Drosophila melanogaster: one gene and its partner. The protein of the gene in region 1 purifies or fractionates together with the protein of each later gene. This does not show direct contact. Each region holds a gene or a part of one and is shown in the gene's direction. Other genes may lie near its edges. The genes, in order: E(spl)m5-HLH and dgrn.

Evidence for each region.
Region 2: the proteins of E(spl)m5-HLH (region 1) and dgrn purify together in Drosophila melanogaster (affinity purification with western blotting, with the first as the bait; one study listed by BioGRID). This does not show direct contact.

Annotation. Positions count from the first base shown.
Region 1 is NT_033777.3:26,019,857-26,031,411, reverse strand, and holds E(spl)m5-HLH (enhancer of split m5, helix-loop-helix), read left to right. Parts: upstream 1-1,676; 5' UTR 1,677-1,759; coding exon 1,760-2,296; 3' UTR 2,297-2,558; downstream 2,559-11,555. Other genes in the region: E(spl)m4-BFM (enhancer of split m4, bearded family member), read left to right, coding at 6,919-7,377; E(spl)m3-HLH (enhancer of split m3, helix-loop-helix), read right to left, coding at 8,718-9,392. UniProt on the Drosophila melanogaster protein: Participates in the control of cell fate choice by uncommitted neuroectodermal cells in the embryo. Transcriptional repressor. Binds DNA on N-box motifs: 5'-CACNAG-3'.
Region 2 is NT_033777.3:5,822,496-5,835,283, forward strand, and holds dgrn (degringolade), read left to right. Parts: upstream 1-2,119; 5' UTR 2,120-2,453; coding exon 2,454-2,480; intron 2,481-2,537; exon of another isoform or gene 2,538-2,540; coding exon 2,541-2,949; intron 2,950-3,003; coding exon 3,004-3,093; intron 3,094-3,309; coding exon 3,310-3,743; 3' UTR 3,744-4,081; downstream 4,082-12,788. Other genes in the region: Sec20 (secretory 20), read right to left, coding at 1,210-1,812, 1,866-1,946; glob3 (globin 3), read left to right, coding at 7,659-7,852, 7,900-8,104, 8,664-8,855.

The DNA of each region.
Region 1 (11,555 bases):
AACAAACTGGTGGTCCGGCATACATAAATCCCTCAAAGGATTGGTCCACGAACGGACGACGTAAGTCAGGCGATGGGATCATTGAAATCCATCCAGTGGCTGTCAGTTAGCTGGTCACTGCTACTGGGGATTCTCACTCACCTTGGATACGTTAATGATTTGATTGCCCATTGACAGGCCAAATCCCCACGTCCCCGCAACTCCCATTCACCACTTCAATCAATGACAGACGGCTCGTTAAACTTCTTCTGCGGGTGCGTTCGTTCAATTAGCCCATGTCGTAAAGTACAAATAACTATTGCGTACAAGTTCCACGGAACTTGGATGGCAACTCTGGCTCTGGCTCTGGGCCCGGCCATAATCATTAAGCCCGCCGACTGGTAGCCGGCAATTTAAATTAAACAATCGTCAATGACGGCGACAAGAGTGAAAAACTAAAGTAAAGCAGGCAGTAATCAGTCGGTTTCTCAGTTCGCCAGTCAGTCAGTCAGTCAGTCCGTCCGGCAGTCATTCAGTCATTCAGTCGAGCAGTTTAGTCAATCCGTCAGTGCATCAGTCACTCACACGACGATTGCTACTTGGGCTGATAATAAGCGTCGCGCCGGCGCAATAAATGTGTGCCGACAGATAAATGTGTGCCCTCATCTGGTTGTTGCTTCTGTATATTTACGGCCAAGTGGTTGTCTGTGTGGAGTATCTGTGTCTCGCTGGCTTTCCGTGTATCCGTGCCTGTAATCGTAACCATATAAGCGTCTTAAATGGCAGGTGTGCACATCGCGTGGGAAACACACGACGCGTCTCGAGCGGTTCTCACGATATGAAAATCGAGCAAAACAAACGGAAAGACCCCTCAAGACCCTAACAACGGTGACAGCCACTTTCTCGGGATTCGAATTGGATCTGGGATGGGGATTGGGGTTAGCGTTAAGGGTTGTCAGTAAAGTGTGCATGGGGATCGGGCGAGCATTGGGTCAGGATTTATGGGGCAGCGATGATGGTGAAGGGACCCTAAAAAACCATGACTAGGACATATATCTAAGTGCTTGTTTGTAATGAATTGGATTTTATAATTACTTGCATGAGCAGATGACGAATCCCTAAAATTTTATGTACTTTGTATCCACCTATTTGATTCCTTATTGAGGTATAAGTGTTTGCTATCCATGATTACATCAACCTCTAACATCCCATATTTAGTTTTGAAACTGGCTAAAGGATCTAAACGATCCTCCTTCTTTCCTTTCAGCGATCCAAAGATCAGTAAGCCACAACAAGACAATTACAATTTTACCGAGTTTGATTTTCATTTGCTGGCCCAAACCGAATCAGTTTGTCGCAGACAATTGGGCCCAATTCTGAGCACCACGTTCCCACGTCTTGGCCAGCATTTTACGGTTTAATTGCAGTTACAATGCGTCGCCAGGACCCACACTCCTTGGCTAGACAATTGAAAGGAATAAAACACACAAAGGGAGCCAAGAAAAGCAGCCTGAAAACTCAGTCTTTGCACAACGATTTCCTTGGTTTCCTTTCCCACGCACGCACAGCATAGCAATAAGATTTCGAGATCTTTACGGTGTTCGCAGGTAGCAGGTCCTCCAGCAAGGACCTTCTCCACACTGCTGCTGCTGCGGCTGCTGCGGGTATAAAAGCCGGTGCAGTCGAGGAATCCAGCATCATTCGAGCAGCATCCTGCAAGCAGTTCAGATCAGCTCAGCACATTTCTACAAATCTTCCAAAACAAAAAACACATTACAAAATGGCACCACAGAGCAACAACAGCACCACATTCGTCTCCAAGACCCAGCACTATTTGAAGGTGAAGAAGCCCCTTTTGGAGCGCCAGCGTCGGGCCCGCATGAACAAGTGTTTGGACACCTTGAAGACCTTGGTGGCCGAGTTCCAGGGCGATGATGCCATCCTGCGAATGGACAAGGCCGAGATGCTGGAGGCGGCACTCGTCTTCATGCGCAAACAGGTCGTCAAGCAGCAGGCGCCGGTCTCCCCACTTCCCATGGATAGCTTCAAGAATGGCTACATGAACGCCGTCAGCGAGATCTCCCGTGTGATGGCCTGCACTCCAGCCATGAGTGTGGATGTGGGCAAGACAGTGATGACCCATCTGGGCGTCGAGTTCCAGCGCATGCTGCAGGCCGATCAGGTCCAGACTTCTGTTACAACCTCCACCCCACGCCCACTCAGCCCCGCCTCCTCGGGATACCACAGCGATAACGAGGACTCTCAATCCGCCGCCAGCCCCAAGCCAGTCGAAGAAACCATGTGGCGCCCTTGGTAAATCACCATCACCATCATCATCGACATCGAATCCAGTCTTCCAGCTGAAGAATCTTCTTCAGCATCGACATTGAATCCTGTCTTCCACCAGCAACTTCTGCTGCAACGAATCATGTCTTCCAATTGAATCGTTAACAATGTGATAACAGCTTTACCTAGATCATAAGCACACCTCAAGCTTTATTAGTTTATTAAGGAATTTATTTTAAGAGAACAACACAACAGCTTTAATAGTTATAAAATACAAAACACACAAAAACCTTAATACTTTGGTCTATTTATTTACTTAAATTAACAAAAATCATAGGCCAAAATTCTAATTGGCTTTGTGATTTTCGGCTTGCAGATATCTCATTAATCTAATATGATTTATTTGTTACAAATCTTAAACAAGGAGAAAATATTGAATCAAATCCAAAAATATCATCATGATCATGGATGATCAAGACGAGTGTTGTAGATTTTGCTTAGATTTTAGATTAGTAAAATAAACTTTGCAGAACATTCAAGTAATTGTAATTCTGAAGAGACAATGTCAAGTGAAAGTAATCCCTCTCTGTGTAGATATAAGATTGTCAAGAATATTGTTCTGCTTCTTTGAAAAATAATTACCCTTGTTGAGCAATTCATTAGAATAATTCCACAGTTTTTGTGTAAAAGACACACATTAAGCAGTACCTCCCCCGCCTGATGATCGATCTAAACAAGATCCGTGCTTGACAACCCAGCTGCGACCTCCTCGACGAAGAGTTGAACTCCCCCGGGTCCAAGTAGGAGGTCCTCTGGCCATAAACCCAGTCAAACCCCTAGCCAAGCGACGCCCCCGAGGACCGGAGACAAAAAAAGACACAGACCTGTCTACGCCTCGATCAACAGCTTAACACTGTGGTGTTGCACGTGTTGCAAAGTGTTGTCGAATCTGCATACCCCTCGAGCCCCTGGACAGGGCTCACATATCGTTTTGGGACTTTTTTCTCTCGTGTTTGTCAGCCAGGGGAGGTTCCGGGCCCATCGAGTTAAACCGTCAATTACGACCGCTTTTGTGCCCTGCACGTGCGTGCTGAGTGATGGGCGGGGATCGAGGAACGGGACTCCTTGAGGCTTGGATCGATGATATCCTAAACCAACAATGACAATGGCCACGGCATTCCTGGAACTCGCCTCCCGCATATGCGACACACCAACGCACATACTAATTTGTAAACTAAAAAATAAAATCCAAAAATAAGAAGACATGTCTCGCTGCCTCGTGTCAAGTGCAATGTCTTTGTGTAACTCGATGATCCAAAGGACCCCACATGTGTGGTGCATCACCACACTGATTACTGTCTATGTTATTTTATCATTACAAAACCAAAGAAACCGCCACGTAGGTCCACCAGCTCATATTTAAATTTAAGTACGGGTCACAGATAGAATTCTAATGAAGACTTGGGTATATCTTCTTTGTTGAAAATGAAACAATATAATATGGAAACACATACTTTAAATTACAGCAATAAAGTAGTGTAATCGTTTTTAATTTATAAGGCAAGAATCTATCAGAGGAATAATTAAAAGTGCGACCAAATATAACTATATATTGATAATATATAGTTGGATTTCAAGCTAAATTTTTTCGAGGTCATCAAGTATTCGTATTATCTCAGTTTCTTAGAACCTATCTATCGATTCCTTGTTATTGTTATGCTTACGGTTGTGCACATGGCTCCGACTAAATCCCTATAGCTCAACTAGCCCGTCTGTTCAACTCAAGTGCAGAGATCATCTTTCGTTCTACGGAATTTTTCGCACGCCTCGTTTGATGTTCACGCTGCTGACCACGGAAAATGTAAACGGAAATACCGTAACAGATTCGGGCAGTTAGCACATCCTCCGGTCGGCGTGGGTGTGGAAGGTCCTGTCCGGTGTAACTGGACCTGCGGAAACCGTAGGAGGAGGGAAGGCCTCAATGATCGGTGGGCTTTTCCCGTCGACAATCAAACGCACATGTGTGAAATTTTCACGTTCGCAAGTTGATCACGTTGCCGCACTATCTGTAGTTATGGTAGATATGTACATGGGTTTTGGATGGATAGTTAGGTGGATGGATAGGTGGTTCGAGGGACGTGACGGGGCCGCAGTTTCGATCGTAACACCCTGCTGTGAGCGAAACGAGGTCGTCACGTGTACAAACACCATCATTCCCACCCCCCTTTGAACACTTGGTAGGGAGACAATGGACAGCCAGGGTCAGGTTGATTTTATTTTTATTTTATTTTTTTTTTCCTCTTTCTCCGCTTTTGTGTGCGTCGGGCTAATCCACAGTTTTGGAACCTTAAATGATCGAGCTGAGATAAGAAATCAGTGCACGTGTTCGGCCAAAGATTTCCCTGGAAGATAGAAAAGTGATGGAGAAAAAGAAGGCACCACAGTAGTCACCGAAAACCCAGAAAAAAACCACTGCAGGGGCAGCCAAAATTTAAGACCCCCAGCGGGGCTTTGGTTTCCCATCCAAATGGTTAACTATTTTTATTTGTTTTGCCCCTGCACGTGGGCACACAATAAAGTGCAGAATAAAAAAAAAAACTAACACAAAAAAAAAACCATCAGAAGGAAAACTGGGGGCAATGAGTCAACCGAAAAACTAAAGGACCAAAACACAATTAGATCGACACAATCCGTGCATAATAAGGCCGAATAATGCGGTAGCATGAGTCAACCAAAAACGATACGAGGAACTGGGAGAATCGTCCAGGGCCATAAAGGTCAGTTTCCTGGAAGTAATTCAATAATTTGGGACTGTTGATACAGCAAAGGATATTCAAAAGATTGAAGGCAACTCTTGTTGTGATAAAACACAGGGGATTTTATAGAAATATTCTGCCTCAATATTAAAAAGATACTTTGTAGCTACAAAAAGAGGAGGGACTTTATTGAAATGGCTTTAGCTCTTAATCCCGAAAATTGGTCCAGTTCTCTGCCAGCATATTGTCTTTTTAGAGGACAAAATGAAGCTGTACAAACTTGGAATTGAGACTTACATTTTATGAACCCATTCTATGTTGTTGAAATGAATAATAAATAATATCATATTTATGTTAATTTTTTGGTTTTTACCCAAAGGAGGAGGATTCAATTAACATAAAACACATTTTCTAACTTAAAATATTAACATAATTTCAGATATCCCCAAAATTATAACAATTATATTACTACAAATTATCTTACATTGGTGCTCTAATTTTCTTCGAAGTAAAGGATCCAATAGTATCCACCAATAAAACCAATTATCCCATCCTTTGACCCGCTCATCGATCCATTATAACAACCATCCAGCCAACAAAGCCAACCATATAATCATCATCACCTCCACAGCAGTTCAATAGATCTGAGATCCAGGACGATCTGTTAACGCCAGCCTACAACTTCTCACCGAGGAGTCCTGCTTAATTTGTCCCAACTCACACCGGGTTCCAAATATTTATGGTTAAGTCAGAGGACAATCCATTAAGTACGCCAAAGATATCCAGAGGGAGCCGAGACACAAAAAGCCGAAAGAAATCCTGGGAAACCTTGGCTTCAGCGCCTCACGCGCCATCAACGATCCACAAATAAAAAAAGAAGAAGGAGCCACACAAAAAAGATCAGGCGCTCGCTGTGCGTGTGCTCCTCCAACGATGTACTCGTGGTCCTGCTCCTCCTTCCCTCTTACATATTTTTTACCCATCATAATACGAATCGGTCCCCTGCTAATTGTGTGCCATCAGCAACAGAAATTAAAAGCAACTCCTTCGTCGACGATCCTTGTCCTCCAGCTCCTTTGCCATCTCGCTCCTTCGGGCAACGCCTCGCCTCCACATACAATTTGATAAATTTCAAATTACAGCGCATTAAATGCTCGCAGTTAAGGATTCCTGGTCCCTCGTCTGGGATCTGTGTGCCCCCTACTCCATCAAATTCTACGGATTGTTTGCCTATTGAGCTATTTTATCTTCTGGTTTCGGGCATTAATTGTTCGCCTCCGTTCGAGCGTTGAAAATTGAAAATATTCTCCCACGTTCTCGAGCTGCACACGTGTTCGAGAAATGGAAAACGGATTTCCCCCGCCCCCCGGCTCCATCATTGTCCGTCCCGCTCGCACTGCCTACATAATGAGATAAGTGCACATAAAAACCAAAAGTGATCGGCAGAAAAAGGGAAAAAAACGAATCTCCTTGTCAAAAAGGATCCTTTCGAACCGAAACTGTGGGAACTGGTAGAAAGTCTCGTTTCTCACGATCCTGCAGCAGGATAAAATTGCCCGCACCTTCAACAGGTGCGAGCGGAGCGACACTACATGCCGTCACACTCCGACGCACGCAGGTTAATGCCGATGCAGTCCCTTTTCGAAAAACACACCTGCCGTTTTTGTTGTTGCCTCGCCATGTATCCGCACTGTGTATAGGATTTTTCGGGACACGTATCCTTGTAGTTTCCCACACTCGGTGTTTTGTGACCTGCTCGGCTTCGGGTTTCTCCACGTCCTGGCGAGTATAAAAGGACCCTGGCTCGGAGGATCAGGCATCATTCGAGCTCAACGCTTCGTACAGTACACATCTCAGCTACACAGCAGCTAAACACAAAATTCCAAAACACATCATCATGTGCCAGAACAAGATCAACACCAACAACACCATGACCATCAAATCGAACAAGAAGCTGTCCTACAGCGTGAAGAAACTGCTGCAGAAGATCTTCAAGCAGCAACAGCGCGTCGAGGAGGAGCAGAACCTCAAGAACGCCCTCAAGGCCAACTCTTTGGAGTCTCTGGAATCCATGGAAAACAGCCGCAACGCCGATCTGGAATCCGCCTCCATCTGCGCCTCTCTGGAGTCCTGCGAGAACGAGGCCAACGAGCGTCTCTCCCAGTCCTGCGAAATTGAGGACTACGACTTCGAGCAACTGCCCACCGTTCCCGTTCACTTCGTCCGCACCGCTCACGGCACATTCTTCTGGACCGCCGTCTCCGATTTGCCAGCCGACAACGACCTCGTCGAGCCCCTCTACTGCAGCACCTCCAACGCCATCGCTATCCCCCAGGATCGTTGGGTTCAGGCCTAAAAAATATCAGCGTCCTGCAACCTGCATCCATCATCCGGCAACTATGTCTTCCATTGGATCTCCAGCTTTAATCAACGTCTTCCGTTAATTTTTGAAACCATTCCACAAAAATTAACACGCAAGCCGATCAACTCAACTGAAGAGCTTTACAAAAATTGTGATACATTTTACTTAACAAACACAAAAAAATCAAAATATATATACAATTTAAATGAAATCAACCACTGTTTTTTTTACTTTTAATCATTGATAAATCGTATGAAATGGGCCTTCTCTTAAATCACACATTTGGAAATTGGTAATCTTTACCAAAAATTGTGTTACATTTCACCCAAAAAAAAAATAATTGAATAGGAATCTAAATTCTTTGTTTCCCCCTTATTGTTCCAACAATTTTCCGTTTACAAATCAACACAGAAAATAAATGGGGAGCGAAGTCCTTTCTTAATTGGCATGACTCATTTGAAAAACGAGCGGACCCTAATCCGATTCGATCCTGAACCTTTTTTGGTCTTATTGTTGATCAATTTACCTGCCAGCAGGTAGTGCATATTGACGGTTGTTGTTTGGCCTGTTGATTTGGACCACAATGCCAACCAGTTATCGGGCAGGTAGAGAGGATCTGTTGATTGCCGATCAGATTGGTGGTAAGAACAGGCTCCAATTAGATGATCTGCTTATGGGAATGAATCAGGGTCGAGTCGAAAATGTGTTGCATACATTTGAGGTGATGTTCAATTAAAGGTAATTTATTGGGGCAGTAAACAACATTGGCGGACTGGGACAAGAATGAACAGTATTCCGTTAGGTTTGCATAATATCGTTCAGTTTGTTTATATTTATTAATATAACAAAATAAATATTTTATAAAATTTTGAAATCCCGCAAAAGAAAAACATTGTGTTTTCAATTTAAATCATTTATTTTATTTGGGTAGTGTATTTTTGATTATTCTTTCTCAACTAATCATAAATTAACATTTATAAATTATTTAAAGCTTAATATATGCTAAACAATAAAGAGAGCGCAACGAGATATTAAACTTAGGGAACTTTTGGAGTAGGAAAATAGCGCACTCGAATATATATTCACTGATTGATTGATCAACGTACTTTAGTTATATCACAGTTGAAATTAAACAATTAATTTACAAATTACCATTATCGGAACTAAAACTAAAAGTATTTCAAAACCATTCAGAAATCGATTAGACCTCAATTAACTTAGGTTGATATGATTTACTTTGGAAGACAACGGATCTTGTTGCAGAACGGTCAATAGCCATTTTTTTGGGTTGCGATTATAATATTAGGGATAAGATCCATATTGGGCACGCCCAATTACCAGGGCCTCCAGACGGGCTCAGAGGCGCCGGACTCCTGCGAGCTAACCGACGCCGTCTCGGATAACGCATTGCCATCGACGGATGTCACATCGATCAGTTCGTCCTTGCTGGTCAGGAAGGAGCTGTAACTAATGGCGGCAGCGGCGGCTGCCGGTCCATATCCTCCCAGCAGCGGGAAGGCTAGGCGGCCTGATGATTGCGGTATTTGCTGCTGCTGGTGTTGTTGCTGTTGCTGCTGCTGCTGGAGCAACTGCGTCTGCAGCTCAATTAGTCGCGTCGATAGGAATTTCATTATCTTGCGCCCAATCTCATCGGTTTGCTGTGTCTGCAGCAGGACCTGGGTAATCTGATCGGCAGCATGCACATAGCCGGAGCGAAAGGACTCCACGTGGGCGGTACTGGTTGAGGTGGGTGGGCTGCCAACACCAGCCACTACTCCCTGCAGCGAAAGACCACCCCGCTGCTTGAGTTTCCTCATGTGATCCACGGTCAACTCCAGGATATCCGCCTTCTCCAGCCGGGTGACGTGCTCGCCCTCCTGCTGCAGGCACTCCACCATCAGATCCTTGAGATCGTCCAGACACTTGTTGATCCTGGCTCGCCGTTTGCGCTCCAGCAGCGGCTTCATCACCTTGCGGTACTGATACGTCTTGGACATCTCCATGACCATGATCGATTGGGTTGTTTTATGTTGTGTATTTTAAGGATTGTTCTTTTGTATTTAGTCTCTCAACTGCACATTATCACTACTGATTTTGGTTGGTTTCATAGATTGGTTACTTTTTGACGAGTTTGTTGCGCGTGCGTTGCGCGTTCCACCGATTGCGGTGCGTTCGAGTGGCGGCACTTTTACGAAATGAGTGGCAAACTAGTTCCCAGCCCTACTTTTATATGACAGCCACGCTCTCCCGGCAAACGGGGATCAGGCTCTCCCGGCCACAAAGCTCCCGCATGATCACTCACACACGCTCCCAGGCACTCGGGCCCAAGATCGAGTTCCACTTCGGTTCTTTTCGGTCGCGGATCGGTAGCGGCGCTCGGCAGCGGCACAAAGAGAGGCTACTGTAGGCCATCGATGATGGGGGTTGTACCGTCTGCAGGGGGTACAGTGGGACCATCACCATGGAACTCTTTACCTTCTTAATTATGCTTATTATAAAAAATAAGAAATAATCCATTTTAGCAATGCGAATATAATATCAATATTTTTCATTTCCAATAGTGTTAAATTTGTGTTCTTTATATTTTGCTACAACTATTTTTTATATGACTCTCAAAAGTATGCAACATAATTGTTCAACCAAAAGGACGATTTAAAAATTTGCTAAATTTTAAGACCTGAAAGAAAGCAATTTCAAAAAATATTAATCACTTACAAAGTTAATAAAACTGCAATTATTTTCGTAAAATCTGCTTATTGAAAGTAATACTATTAGTCCAAAATTAGTATTATTAACCGAAACTAGTCGACTTCGAACCAAGGTGCATGCAATGGGAGCGAGCGAGAGCGTGCCCCGCCGCAGATACAAATGTATCTGTATCTGCAGCTTTGGTGCTCTGGCGCGCGTCGTCTTCAATTGATTGCATGGCCAGAGGGAAACTGAGCAGTCGGCAGTCGACAGTCGGCTTTCGGATTGGATCTCATTCTCGGCGACTGCGCGTGTCTCTCAGGCCGCTCCACCCCGCCCTCCATCCCCCCTCATCCATGTCATACTTATTGTCAATGATGACAGTGCTCGGCTCCCATTCGCTGTCGAAGTCCGCTGCTCCGTACCGCTCACACCAACAATGAGAATGAGACACGAGGGAGCCTACGAGGCAGTAGCCTATGTGATTGTGGGTCCCATGGCTCAGTGGATGGGGATGGGTGTTTGTGTGTGTGTGCGGTGTGCCTACTTTACGAGACCGTGGGAAACAGATTTGTCGTGTGTTTCCCACACGTTGGACGGATGGCTGGATTGTGATGCGATCCGATGGATTGCTGAAATGTTGTTGCTGTTGCTGCTGGTTGATTTCAAGCGGGTTGACTGTCAGCCGCCAATGGGGGGCAGTGGGCGAACTGGTGAGGGATGGCTGGGTGGAGGGGCAGCCTTAACTCGCGCAATTATGTCGCATGCTTGGCTGATGATGATGACTGCGACAACTGCACGTGGACAAAATGTGCGGTCTTTTTGGGAGTTTAAAGTAGATTTGAAACAATTTCAATAACAGCAACTATGTTAATTACCAATAAATATAGATCACCCCATTTCGGAAGAATGGAAAATATATATATTTTGATATTTTACTTATAACCGAATTCAAATGTAATCAGTTTTTTTTTTTAAGTTTTCAAATATTTCTCACAGTGCACAACCACCACTATGGCTGGGGCTGTGGGTTGACTTTTCGTTGAAGCGTATCGATTAAGTGTAACAGTTTCGCTATCTCGGCGCATTGGGGGTTCCAAAATGAAAGAAATAAAACTCTTTTTGCATAGTCCGATTACCAACCCTTCGGCATTTGTCGCCTTTCGTAATAAACTTTAACATCCGGTTGTCGTTCTAAGATTCGTTTTTCGCCCGTCCTCCACATATTTCTTTTAATTCGCTGATCTCAGGGCTACTGGTCAGCACTGAGTGTATAAAATGTTGCCTGTTTTTTATGCCCCTTTTTTCACAGCTGCTGTTGGGCCGACTTTATCACCATCGCAGCAATATGACACTTGTGGTTGGACGCCTCGGAGTTATTTTTTGTGGCCGTGCTTTTTGCCTGGCTAAGCATTTCCCATGATGCTGCAGAATCGCTCTGTTTGTTTGTCTTCTGGCCATGACTTCCGTTAGCCGTTTGGCTT
Region 2 (12,788 bases), about 20 Mb from region 1:
CTTTTTTGGTGACGGCCAAAATTACTCTCTTTCCGCTCACTCCCGCTTAGAGCGTAAGAAATCTAAAAATATAATTTGCTTGCTTGTGTGAGTAAAAACAAGAGACGAGAACGCGTATAAGTGTGCGTGTTGTGCTAGAAGACGATTTTCGGGCCGAAATCAATTCTGATCGAAGAAACGAATTTACATGGTACATATTAGGGTAGTTTTTGCCAATTTCCTAGCAATATGATAAAATAAAAAATTTTTAAAAATTCGCGCCCTGGCTATTATAATTTTAAAGCTTTTTTAAATTTCTTTGTTAAAATCGCCGCTCGAATTAGCTACCGTTTACACATTTGTATTTATGTTTAATTCTAATTTGTCTCTCATCTGACAATTTTTTAAAACCGAAATATTTTTTTTGAAACACTTTTAATGTTAATGTTACATCATATTAAGTCAAATGATTTAATAAATATACTAAATAATTAAATATGCAATTAAATTAAATTGCAAAAGTAATATCAAAGACAATAGAATTATTCTAGTGTCTTTGCTTTGTTCATATCTTGAGGCACGAAGTGCGGACACAAGCACTCAACAATCATTGCCTTATTAATTTTTCACACGCCGCAAGATGAATACTCTAATGACAAATATTCTTATATAAATTCATTTTTGAAATTTATTTTTGTGATAATATGTACATAGATTTGACTATTTCTAATCTATTTTCAAATAATAATAACGTTAAGGCAATGCAAAACAAGAATTTTTCGCATGGTGCCAATTGATAAAAAATAATATAGATTTAAAGCCAAAGAACTTCTAAGGTGAAGGGCATATTTTGTCAAATTTACAATGCATGTGAATACGTGTGCACACATACAGATGTCTGCTATCACTTTGTGCGTTGAAAAGAGCTGTTCGCTGTAGCGCTCTTCGCTCTCTCGCTCTCTAACAAAAATTCGAGAGAGCCTGGAGCCACCTCTAGAGCCACGGCCAAAAAATCGTGTGCCAAAAAATCGTATGGCGTTACGCATCTTGTTATTCTAGGGTCTTTGGCTGTACCACGTTTACAACTTAGGCAAATCACTAAATAATATAAATATAGGAGCTGTGCTTACAAGGTATGGTCATGTGCTAAGCTTAATCTAGCTATACCTAGACAACAGAAGCGACAACCTTAAGCTATTTTGGGAACGGGTTTTGTCCATTTGTGGAGTCTTAGAAGAGTCGCTTTTGGACGATGTAAAAGACACAGGCGAGGAACAAGGAGAAGGCGAAGAAGAGCAGCATTTTGTCAGTGCACTCGCGTCGTCCGTACTTTTTGAGCAGCTTGCCGGACATGCTAATGCTGCCGGCCGTGTGGTGCAGTTCGTCGCTGGTGGCCTCCACATTTTGCGACGAGGCCACGAGCGTTTCCAGGGTGATGGCGCTCTTCTGGGTGGTCTCCGAGAGGTGCCGCGATATAGCCAGCATCTTCTCGGTCACGTCGTTCTCCTGCGAAACCAGACTGCCCTGGTTGTGCCGCGCCCGTGTTGTGGTTCGTTGGCGTAGCTCACTCTCGCCGGTAATGGCCATTAACTCCTCCCGATTGGCCTTCTCGATCTCCAGCATCGTGGACACGTTTGCTTTTCGGAACGCCTGCAGCGTTTTGGAGAACTGATCACGGTGGTCGTCCACTTCATTGGCCAGCGCAGAGTCTGCCGTGTCCCGCGCCCAGTCGTCCAGCCGCTCGATGCTTTTGCGGATAGCAGACAGTTTGGAGCGGCCCGCTTCGTTCAGCTCCTCGAGTTCGGCGATGGAGGTGCGGCTGTTCAGGATGTCCTAAAAACAGAAGCTCGGTAATGAGGGTTTCTCTTCAGATAGCGGAGACTTACGTGTATTATTGCCTTAGCCTGCAGATTGTTATCGATAAGGTCCTGCCGTATGGCCTGTAATGTAAACGCATCCTTGTCCATGTCTCCAACTTTGTTTTGTTTCGAAAATATTCTATTATTCTGCTTTGGTGACGTGCATTTAACGTTAATTCCCGCAATTTTCTAACACTACCACGGCACGGTATATATCGATGGCATTTAATCGCCTAAAAAATATCGTTTACATAGTGATGGTATGGTTTTGTAATGTCGACATATTTATATACATTTCTTATAATTATTTTGTTATCAAAGAATTTCGCCGAAACGGAAATTTTATTTTTAATAAATTATTGATTTTTATTGAATTACAAGTGTCATTCTAAACAGCATTGTATAATACCGCAAAAATCGATAGTCGATCTTAAATCCTTGTTCCCGAATGTCCGTAAAGTGTCATCTTTAAAATAACCGAATGGTCGCGTGAAAGGAGGAAACTATTTTGCACATTTCAATCTGCACTAAAGCACATGTATATCTGGGTTCACCTGCTTTTGTCTTTACTACGAAATCATTTCACAAGTTTCCTGGTCATTTGTTGCTCGAACAATGTCAGATTCGACTATTTTCCGTTTTGTAAGTATACCCTGGACTTTAAACTAGTTAATTCCGATTTATGATTGATTTATTTAGTAGAACTCATCCATTCTTGATCAGTCAGCGGACAGCAACGTATCCAGTTCGAGCTCCAATTCCAGTGTATCCGACTCTTCTGTGGACTCCCATTCATCCATAGAATCCAATTCGGGACACAATACATCCGTGGAATCTCAGTCATCCGCGGAATCTGATTCATCCGCTGATTCCCATTCGTCCTTGGAACGCCCATCCCCAGTGGAGCGTGATTTATCTGTGGAATCAGACTCATCTTCAGCCACCAATACCAGCGAATCTTCAGTCGGAGAAGCTTCAAACCAACTGCAGTCACCGCAAAGCAATAACCCCTTAAATATGGCTAACTTGTCTGTCTCGACTGAAGATGCTCATTCGCAGATCAGATCACTTACCCAGGATGTGATCCAGATGGAAGCAGAGTTGGATCGCAGTATGTCACTCCATAATCATTACGAAGTTTTCTGTTAATTGTTTCATATTTCAGTGAATCGCTACTGCGAGGAAGTTGTGGCACAGATTGACACCTTCGCCACGAGAACCTCAACGCCAACAACTCGTAGAATTCGCCGCAGAAGTAAGTGCAGATCAAAATGAACGCATCTGGGTTTCACAATGAACAATGTTTTTAATTCCACAATAACCAATGACATAGTTCTTTCTATAACCCTGCCGGGTTACTTACTTTTGAAGGCAAAATTTATCTATATTTTTTAAAATTTTGTGAAAACCAGATAGCTTTCGCGGATAGAGCTAGCAATAAACCGAATACCGTTTCTTACTTTTTCCGTAGCGAGTCCAGTAGAAGTGATAGATCTGTCCCATTTGGACCGTGCACCACCTGTTCGATCCGCTCGGAATCGTGATCCCGATGCTTTCATCGATCTATGCACCCCCGAAGGCCCAAGAAGTCGCACAGTGAATCTTCACTCCAACGACTCCCTCACCATTCTGCCACGTCGGTCAGCCGAAAATGACCCGGTAGTGGATCTCGACGTTGCGTCGCCACCAAAACGCGTTAATCGCGACATTGATGAGTCCCAAAAAGAGGAGTTATACAAGTGCCCCATCTGCATGGACAGTGTATCGAAGCGCGAGCCAGTGTCAACCAAATGTGGACACGTCTTCTGCCGCGAATGCATCGAAACAGCCATCAGAGCTACGCACAAGTGCCCAATATGCAACAAGAAGCTGACCGCACGTCAATTCTTTCGCATTTACTTGTAAGTTGCTTATACTATTTCACATTTTTTGCTCTGTGAGCCTTAATATAATATAGTTTAAAAAAAAACGCTTAACTATGTTAGAGACGGCAAATAATGTCTGTTCTTGTGATTCAGAAAAAATTAGTTATTTAAGTTGTCCTATGTAATCAGTGGCGCCCAAAAATATTTGAATACAACTATAAAAACTAAAGACTTCACTTTTGATGTATGAAACCATCTCAGGCTAGAATAATATAAGAACGACCGAAAGGAGTGTCAAAGTATTATGTAGGCATTTTTCCAAACGCAATTTAACAATGTAACATACATATAATATAATAAATAAAATGGTCCCAACGCATATCAACAGGTTTGTCTCAATCTCATTTTTTATTGTTGGCTACTATTTTTTGAGACAGAAGTCAGACATGGAATTCTGAGATCATTAAAGGGTCGATAAAACAGGATAAATTGGAAACAGGTGGAACATGAAGTGTCTTTAAAGAGACTTTTTCCCTCCAATTTTGTATATATATAACAATATATTTTTTTTTTTTTAAACTTCATTCTATTTATTTTGGTTCCAAAAGGAATCGTTCGGTCAATTCCTCTGAACTTAACCTTATGTGTGTATAAAGGTATATTAGACCAAGTGGTTTCTTAATTATTAAGTACAAAAGGGAAAATGTATCTAGTTATTAATTACTTATTGTGTAAGGGTGTAGGGAGATCGGTGGGGTGTACCCTCTTCAGCCTTCGGAGGGAGATGGGATTAGATAGGCTATTTGCTAGTCGGTTCGGGTGGACCATAAGCCTGTCGGCATAACGGCTGCTGTGAAAATTAATCTGATCCCCAAGAGGGGTAACTTTCAGATCTCTTTCGATTACCTTGTTTGTCACGTACCAGGGGAGCCCAAAAGCACGACGTGCAGCTCTCGACTAGACGACACGGAGCCTATTGAGCTGGGATTTGGCGGCAGTTCCCCACACCTGGATGGCATAACTCCACGTTGGAGCAAGTATGGCTTTGATTAAAAGAGCCTTAGAGCTCACTTGTAGTTTGCTGGAGTGGAAGAGCCAGTCGAGCTTTTTTAGCTTCGCCAGTGACTAAAATTTGACCGACGTGATGTGGGCCCTCCAGGTCAGTCTCCGATCTAGATGAACTCCTAGGTAGTGCGATGTGACATTGATGATGGAGTTTCCATCAAAAAGTTCCGGGCCACAGGGTAAAAGTTCGCAGGCTGACTTCGAGGAGTTAATGGCCACATTCCATTTGGCAGTCCATTTTTCGACTACATACAGCCATTCCTGGACTGCGTTGGAGGCAGTTTACAGTACAGGATGAGACGCCAGCATGGCGGTGTCATCGTGGCCAGGAGCAGCTGATCCGGGGAGACTTCGGTGTTGTTGGCGGGAGATGGCAGGTCGGCAGTGTACAGGGTGTACAGGAAGGGCCCAAGAACACTTCCCTGTGGAACTCCTGCGTGAATCTCTTCCAGGCTGGACCGAGCATCACGCACTGCAAGGTCGAAGGTCCGATGAGAGATGAACGATCTCAGGATGGCATAGTAGGGAGCAGGAAGGAGAGCTTTCATCTTGTATAGAAGTCCTTCATGCCACACCCTGTCAAACGCTTGCTTCACGTCTAGAAAGACGCCGACCGTGTAGAGTTTGTGCTCGAAGCCATGCGTCACCTGGTTTAACAGTCGATGTATTTGTTCAGGGCAGCCGTGGAACTTCCTGAAGCCAAATTGGTGTCGAGGTATGTGGTTCACTACTTGCGGCAGTTCCATCAGGCGGGCTAAGAGTATTCTCTCAAAAATCGTGGAGAAAGTTTATAGCAAGCTGACTTGGCGATATGCATCGATCTTCGTTGGCGGCTTTCCGGCTTTAGGTATCATTATGATACGTGCACGCTTCCATTACCTTGGAAAGTGCCCTAGCCTTAGGATGACATTAAATATTTTTACTAAGGCTAGAGCTCCTTTGCGTGGCAGAGACTTCGCAGCACGGTTGTCGATGCCATCCTAACCAGGGGTTTTCTCGATTTCTTGATTTGTAGCGCCTTCAGCTGCATCATGACTTCCGGCGGTGGGGTATGCCTAATGGGGCGAGCCGGTGCAGTCGGAGTGTCCAGAAAATTATTGATGGCTACGCGGTTTGAGTCGTCTGTTAGGTTGAAGGGCATGAAGGTGGAGGTCAGGTGCGAAGCAAATGTCCTCGCTTATTCATCGTCCGTCTTAAGCCAGAGGCCACTGTGACTCTGGACGGGAGATTGAAACAACGGCTGTCTCTTGATACCTCTTGTGAGCCTCCATAATGAAAAATTGCTGTTGTTATCTGGGCCAGTACCCTCCAGCAGGGTATCCAGATTTTCTCGTCGTGTCCTGGCTAGCAAACGCTGCAGTTTGTTAGTGGTGCTAGAGTATAGCTGCTTAATGCTAGGATCTCCTGTTGCGATGTACCGTCTCCTGAGGCGCCTTTTGTGGGAGAGCAGCTCCCTCCTTGCGGTCGTGTGACGAGCTTGATGTGGGGGAGGTGTGGCCCTCTGTGCTGCTTCCGCGATTGTGGCTGCGAGGTAATGTACGTACGCTTCCAGACTATTGCAGGTGTCTATGGGGATTGAGATCTACTGTGGCCTCAATGCTCCTTGAAGGCCACAGTATTTGCAGTAGGTGACAACATTTTTGTGACACCTTTGAATACCTGGGCGTCTTCATCCAGCTCAAACAGCAGGGGGAGATGGTCAGATGACAGTAGTTGCACGTTAATTTCTTGCTGTCTGAATCCTTTGGAGATCCCGAAATCGATGGCACTTGGAGTGGCACTTGCTCGAAAGGGATAGCAAGTAGCTTCTCCAGTTGCAGCGATGTCGATACCTTCGCCCGCCAGAGCAGAGAACAGCACCCTGCCTCTCGTGCGCATCCTGTAGTTTCCCCACCATCTGTGCTCTGCGTTCCAGTCACCTGCCGCAAGGAACTTTGTGCCAAATTGAGCGATGATCAGCTCGACGTCAGCCTCCGTCCACCTGAGATTAGGAGGGCAGTACACCGAGGCAATGTTAAAAGTACCCCTGCTTGCCGTCAGCTGGATAACTGCTGTCTGGATGTGATTTTCCGACAGGGTGGAGAAGGGTTGGTGGGAGACGAGGGATCTGATAAGGATCGCTGCACCTCCGCGTTTGCTGTCATCCGGGTGGTTGGCAGTGTGGTGGGTAAAGACAGGAACTCTGAAGGTGGACCGGGAAACGAAATGGGTTTCCGACAGCAGGAGGACGTCGATTTCGTAAAGCTCGATGAAGGCGAGAATCTCATTGGTCTTCGAGGAGGCCCCATTGGCATTCCAAGCTGCTACCTTAAGAGGACCCATTTTGAGCAGCAGAATGGAAGGTGCGAGTTTGCAGGAGCAGTTGCATTAGCGTTTCAACTAGTGACATCATCCTTGTCAAGCCTAGAAAACAGCTGCTCGAGCTTAGACTCAAGGTAAGCGCTTGCATGGGGGACAATAACGGCAGGCGACGGGCTGACTTCGTCTCACAATATTTGCAAATGAAGGCTTTCCAGACATGTGGGCTGGTGGACAGGGTTGGTGTGGTCCTCTTGCAGGACCAGAAACAGAGGGTTCATTGACCTTCCGTTGGTGTTTGCGGTTAGAAGCCTCTAGCATGTACTTTTTGCAACCTTTAAAGTTGGCTGCATGGGGGAATTTTTTAGAGTAAAATGTTTTTATGATCTAAGAATCTTGTCGAATAATGGCTTGTTTTTCATATGGCGGTCAAGTTTAATGAAATAATTTAAAATCCTTTAAGTATGCTATGGAAAATCTTGTCTTAGCTATTTAAAATCAATCTACACATTTTTTATGTTTTTTTCATTGCTCGTATTTGTTTCTCTTTTGTTAAGATTACTATCGATTTGGTAAAAATAAACTAAATTTAATGATGAGTGAAGAAGTAATTGCTAAGAACATTTCCTTGTCAAGTCTTACCTACCCAAAGCGTATACCAAAGATTAAGTTCGGTCCTATCAAGGACGAAATGGGTTTCACGCTCAGCGAAAGATTGGCCCTCAGACAGGCGTGGAACTTGGTCAGACCCTTTGAGCGGCGCTACGGTCAGGACGTATTCTATAGGTGGGTTTTCTTTTGACAAGATCATGCCTGAAAAAATTACTTGACAGCTTCCTAAATGATTACTATTGGGGTATTAAGAAGTTCCGGAACGGAGCTGAGCTCAACGTGAAAGCCCTGCACTCGCATGCCCTGCGATTTATTAACTTTTTTGGACTTCTAATCGAGGAGAAGGATCCAGTAGTGTTCCAGCTGATGATAAACGACAACAACCATACCCACAATCGCTGCCATGTGGGCTCCGTTAATATTGGGGTAAGTGTGATTCAATATACAATTCCTTACTCAAACTTTAACAAAATCCTGGACAAATTGTGTGACAAGAATATGCGGCCATCAATGCGTCACTTCATTTTATTTAAAAACAGGAAGCTGCTACTCACACATTTTGTTTTTCCAATTCAACTGTAGAAAAGGAAAAAATATATTGTATATGTTGTTTATGAGACATTCACTTTAAATTTTAAAATTAAGATTGTAATCACACAATTCGACAATTCGTTTTGATTGTTTTTAAGAATGATTATCACCTTTTAAACTTATATTATTATTCCAAAGGTTTGCCTCTCCCTTTGCAGGGGTAAAAACTCAATAGAATATATATGGTATTTCAGAAACTGAATAAACATCTAAATAATAATAAGTAACAATGTTACTCATTGCCTACTATTAATCATTTTATAATCTATAGGATTCAATATTGTGGATGATACATAGCATGTTATTTTATAATATACACCCATATTTTAGCGATTATCATGTTAAATAAGTACAAACTTTTCCCAAATTTTCCCTTTCCCCATGTAACCAACAGCATCTGGCCCAGGCCCTGGTGGACTATGTGCTAAAGGTGTTCCATAAGGTCAGCTCTCCATCGCTGGAACAGGGTTTGAGCAAACTCGTGGAGAAGTTTCAGAACTACCAGGACCAGCAGTCGAATACCTCCGGATACAATCGCCTGAGCAAGGTTAACTTTGATTCACGACCGCCCAGAGGTAACCCATAGGAAACCCAAAGGAAACCTAACGAAACCCAGTGGCAACCAATAGGAAATTCATAAGAAACCCAAAGGAAACCCATAGGAAACCCAAAGGAAACCCAAAGGAAACCCAGTGGAAGCCCAGGCCATGAATCGTATTTGGAATTATATCGGGCTGCGTCATTCTGCCGCTGTCTCTGCCGCTGCTACTGCCTCTGCCACCGCGATATCAGGCTTCTAGTATCAGCCTCTGTCGCTGTCGCCGACGCAGTGGGCGCTCATTTCGCTTAGCTGCTAAGCGATTTCCTTGGAGAAATTCAGTTCAGCTCGGACGCTCGTCGCGCCATCCACACGTTTCGATAGTTAAGCCTTTCAGGGAACTGGAGCGATCGAAAAATTGGCAGTAGCAAAATAAACACTAATAAAACGAACATATAACCTCGCATTTGCGGGTTAATCGGCTAATCGTCTAAATAGTGCTGTTTTGGAAGTTATTGAAACATGGTGGCTACCGAGGAACTTAAAACGGTAATTGAACTAACCAATTTTGAATTGCTCTAGCACTAGATCTGGGTTTTAAGTGTAAGACGCAAGGGCAAAGATGAACGATAAAAAAATGTATTACGCATACGACATGCTGACCAGTAAATTTGGTAATATTGGAGCGAACATAGCTATTAATAAACGAGAAGCGGCACATGGCTAAGATTAGAAATTCATTATAAATGAATTGCTTTTCTTCAGTTTTAAGTATCCGATTGTCAAGTAAAGGCCTTTTCAAGGGCACATAAGCACAATTTGTTTCCAAATTAAATACAATTTTAAGAACTGGACATATTTGTTCAGATGAATAGAAAAAAAAAAACACTTTCTTAATTATTAAACTTAGTACATAGAATTCTATTAATTACCATGAGCCTCTTGAGCTTTGTTCTTAGGCACTTAGTACTCCTCAATTACCATACTAAAAATGTGGGCTACCTTTTTAATTAGCCACTTAAATTTGCATTTGTTGTCGCAATCTATAATAATTTATTACCTACTAATTGCGAAACGATTTCGAAGTGGGCAGCAAAAATATCTAATCGAACTAAGGCTCCTCGCGAAGAAGTGTACGCCAAGTTGAAGATTTATAAAGCCTGCCCCCTGAACAGTTTTGTTTACGGTTGCGCCTGCTAGGTAACCAAGATCTCCAGCTCTTATCGGTAGCCATAAACCAATGATTAGAGAGGGCTTAGAGCCCCAGGATCAAGAGTTTTGTACTTGGGGGGTGGTACACCACCCTATCTTGCCCTTGGCACTGGGACAGACTGCGCCGATCGAACGGTGGCCACTCGAGAAGACCGCTCAAGTGGCTCTTACCAGGCGATTGGGCATTGGGAAGACGTACACCCGTAACTGAGCACGGGGCCAATAGGCTGCTATCGGGGAGCCGGGAAGATCGTCAAGATTTCGGAAGGAGTAGCAGCTGCGATAGGCGTGCGGTTCACGCAGCCACTAACTGCTTTCGATAATGGCCAATTAGCTGTCCACCTTTGGACGTGACGCTGTGCTCTTTGGCTTCAGATTCCCAAAAGTTCGGGCTCTAGCCTGCCGCCGTCAAGTAGTGATTCACTTTTTGGCTGATAAGACCAGGCGTGTTTTGGGTTTTTGGCCACTGCCACAAAGTGCCAGCGTGTTTTATCAAATCGGCTAGTAAAACACACAGCAATCATTGCAGCAATATAATATAATGATCATAATTCCAGTCGCGTGCCAATCAATTGTTGTTGTTTATGCTCTCTGACATATTTACTCAGCGTTTATCTGGCCTGCACTGAACTGTCGGGCAATCTGCGGGATACAAATAATAATATTTACATATCAATAAGTTGTAGCGTTTCATGGCCAGTCGCATCCGGTGAAATGTTTCGTTAAACGTTTGGATTCGATGTAAATTCGCCGCCCAGTTCATCTCTTCGAAGTGTCTCGTTTTGCTTTCCTACTTCCTTATAATAAGGTGAAAATCAGGATCTATTCTAAAGAAGGAATCCGATCTTGCACAAATGTTTATATATAAATAAAATATTCATTGTAGCTCCTTATGAATAATGTTTTGCACATATAGCAAACCAAACCACCATTTTAATAAAACTATTTAGGACTATACTGTGCAACTTCCTCTATCGAAGCATAGCAAACTTTGCGGGGTATGGAATAAATTCGCTTAGTATTAAAGCCCTTAAAGTATTTAATTTGGACTTGCTATCCCATCGAGACCCACTAAACCCACCATAGGAGTCTATAATCCGTGAGAAAGAAGCTTTGCCATTTTCACCCATCTATATTTGAATACCAGGGCACACCTTGCAACAGAAGCGACTTCCATGGGTAAACAATATCGCTTTAATTACCGCATGGGCAAATGACTTGAGCGAATTAAGGGAATTGCGTCAATAAAAGATATTGTCTAACGACTGAGTGAGCTGCAATGGCGCGGGCCACGATAAAGACAAGTAAAATGTGGGCTTGTGGGCGGAAGCATAGAGCGTAAGGCCATCATCCATTGGTATGGATGGGGGCAGGTGCTTGGGAACGGGCCTCCCAAGTGCATCGGCACATGGCACAAGGTACTCGCTGAACTTGACGTCGGAAAGTGGGAGAAAACAGCAAAAGGCGAGTGCAGAAACAGAGTAAACAGAGCACAGCAAGCGAGGCAAGCTTATTAGCATGTGTTGTGCGTACACTGTGCGAAATTTCACGTCTAAATTGGATAGTGTATTGCGCAGATTTAATAGCAGATTTCTCGACCGCTTTTAGGTGGTTTATTATCGTTGGTTTATTCTTAAATATTTTTGATTTTTGATCTTAAACCAGTTCCATTTTGCAATATATTTACAAGGCTTTTTTCTCACTGTTTGGTGGGTGTGTCAGTCGTATCGTTCTGACCCCCTCTCGCTGTCTCCGTCGCACTCTGGGACCTCTCGCTCGCACCGCCGTCGAGTGATCGACTTGTTTGGGTGCGAATGCGGCGACAGGTTTCTTTTGGCATGCACTTGACGCCATTAAGATGCACCTATGTACATACGTGTTTCACTTTATAATTAGAAATTCCGCCTTAATAACATTTTAAGCGGGCGCCTGCCTAGCCATCAAGGAATCAACTGTGAAAGGGGCAATCTCACGTGGTTGTCATCTAATCGATGACCAGCTTCTGTCTACGGCCCGAGAATAGACGACGAATTTGGTTCCCGATGCACTTGGAAAGTGCACCTCAAACGCACCGAAATGCATTTAGCAAATTAATTTTAACTGTCGGAAGCATTCGTTTGCTTGGGCTTTGCTCGACTTGGTTGCGGTGGCGTATGCGTAATATTTGCGTGGATTCACATAAGAAGTCATTTGATAGCCAATTAATATGACAATGTCATTCGGTAGCCGGTGGGTAATCGATTACTGGGATAGTTTTACGAATACTTCCAACAGGTTGTTTGTTTATTTGTTAGCATCCTATTTCAAGAATAAATCCATTTGCCTCTGACGTAAAACAAAAGATTCGAATGCATCTGATTCGCGTAATCTGTTGGCAGTTCAACGAAATGCCGACAAAAGTCTCAGATAAAATAAAAGTTCTATGCACAATAGAAGAATCTTCGCCAAGCATCGAGATGAAAATACGTTTTTTCGAAGAGACCTCCGGTTTAGTCTTTTCGAGGTGTTTGCACGAGACAATCCACTGCCCCAGAGGCAGCCATTAAAATTAGCGGAAAAATCAAAACAATAATACACAATACATAATAACAATACATATACAAAGAAACGCACTGCTAAGATAATTAATGAGACTCGATAGAAATAAGTGAAATACATAATCCGATATATACAAACCATAAAACAGCGTTTTTTACACCACAAAGAGTCGTCAAATTTGGCGCAGTGCGTTTCGTCTGCGATCGTCTTATATAAGGCGTTGCTAAAGAA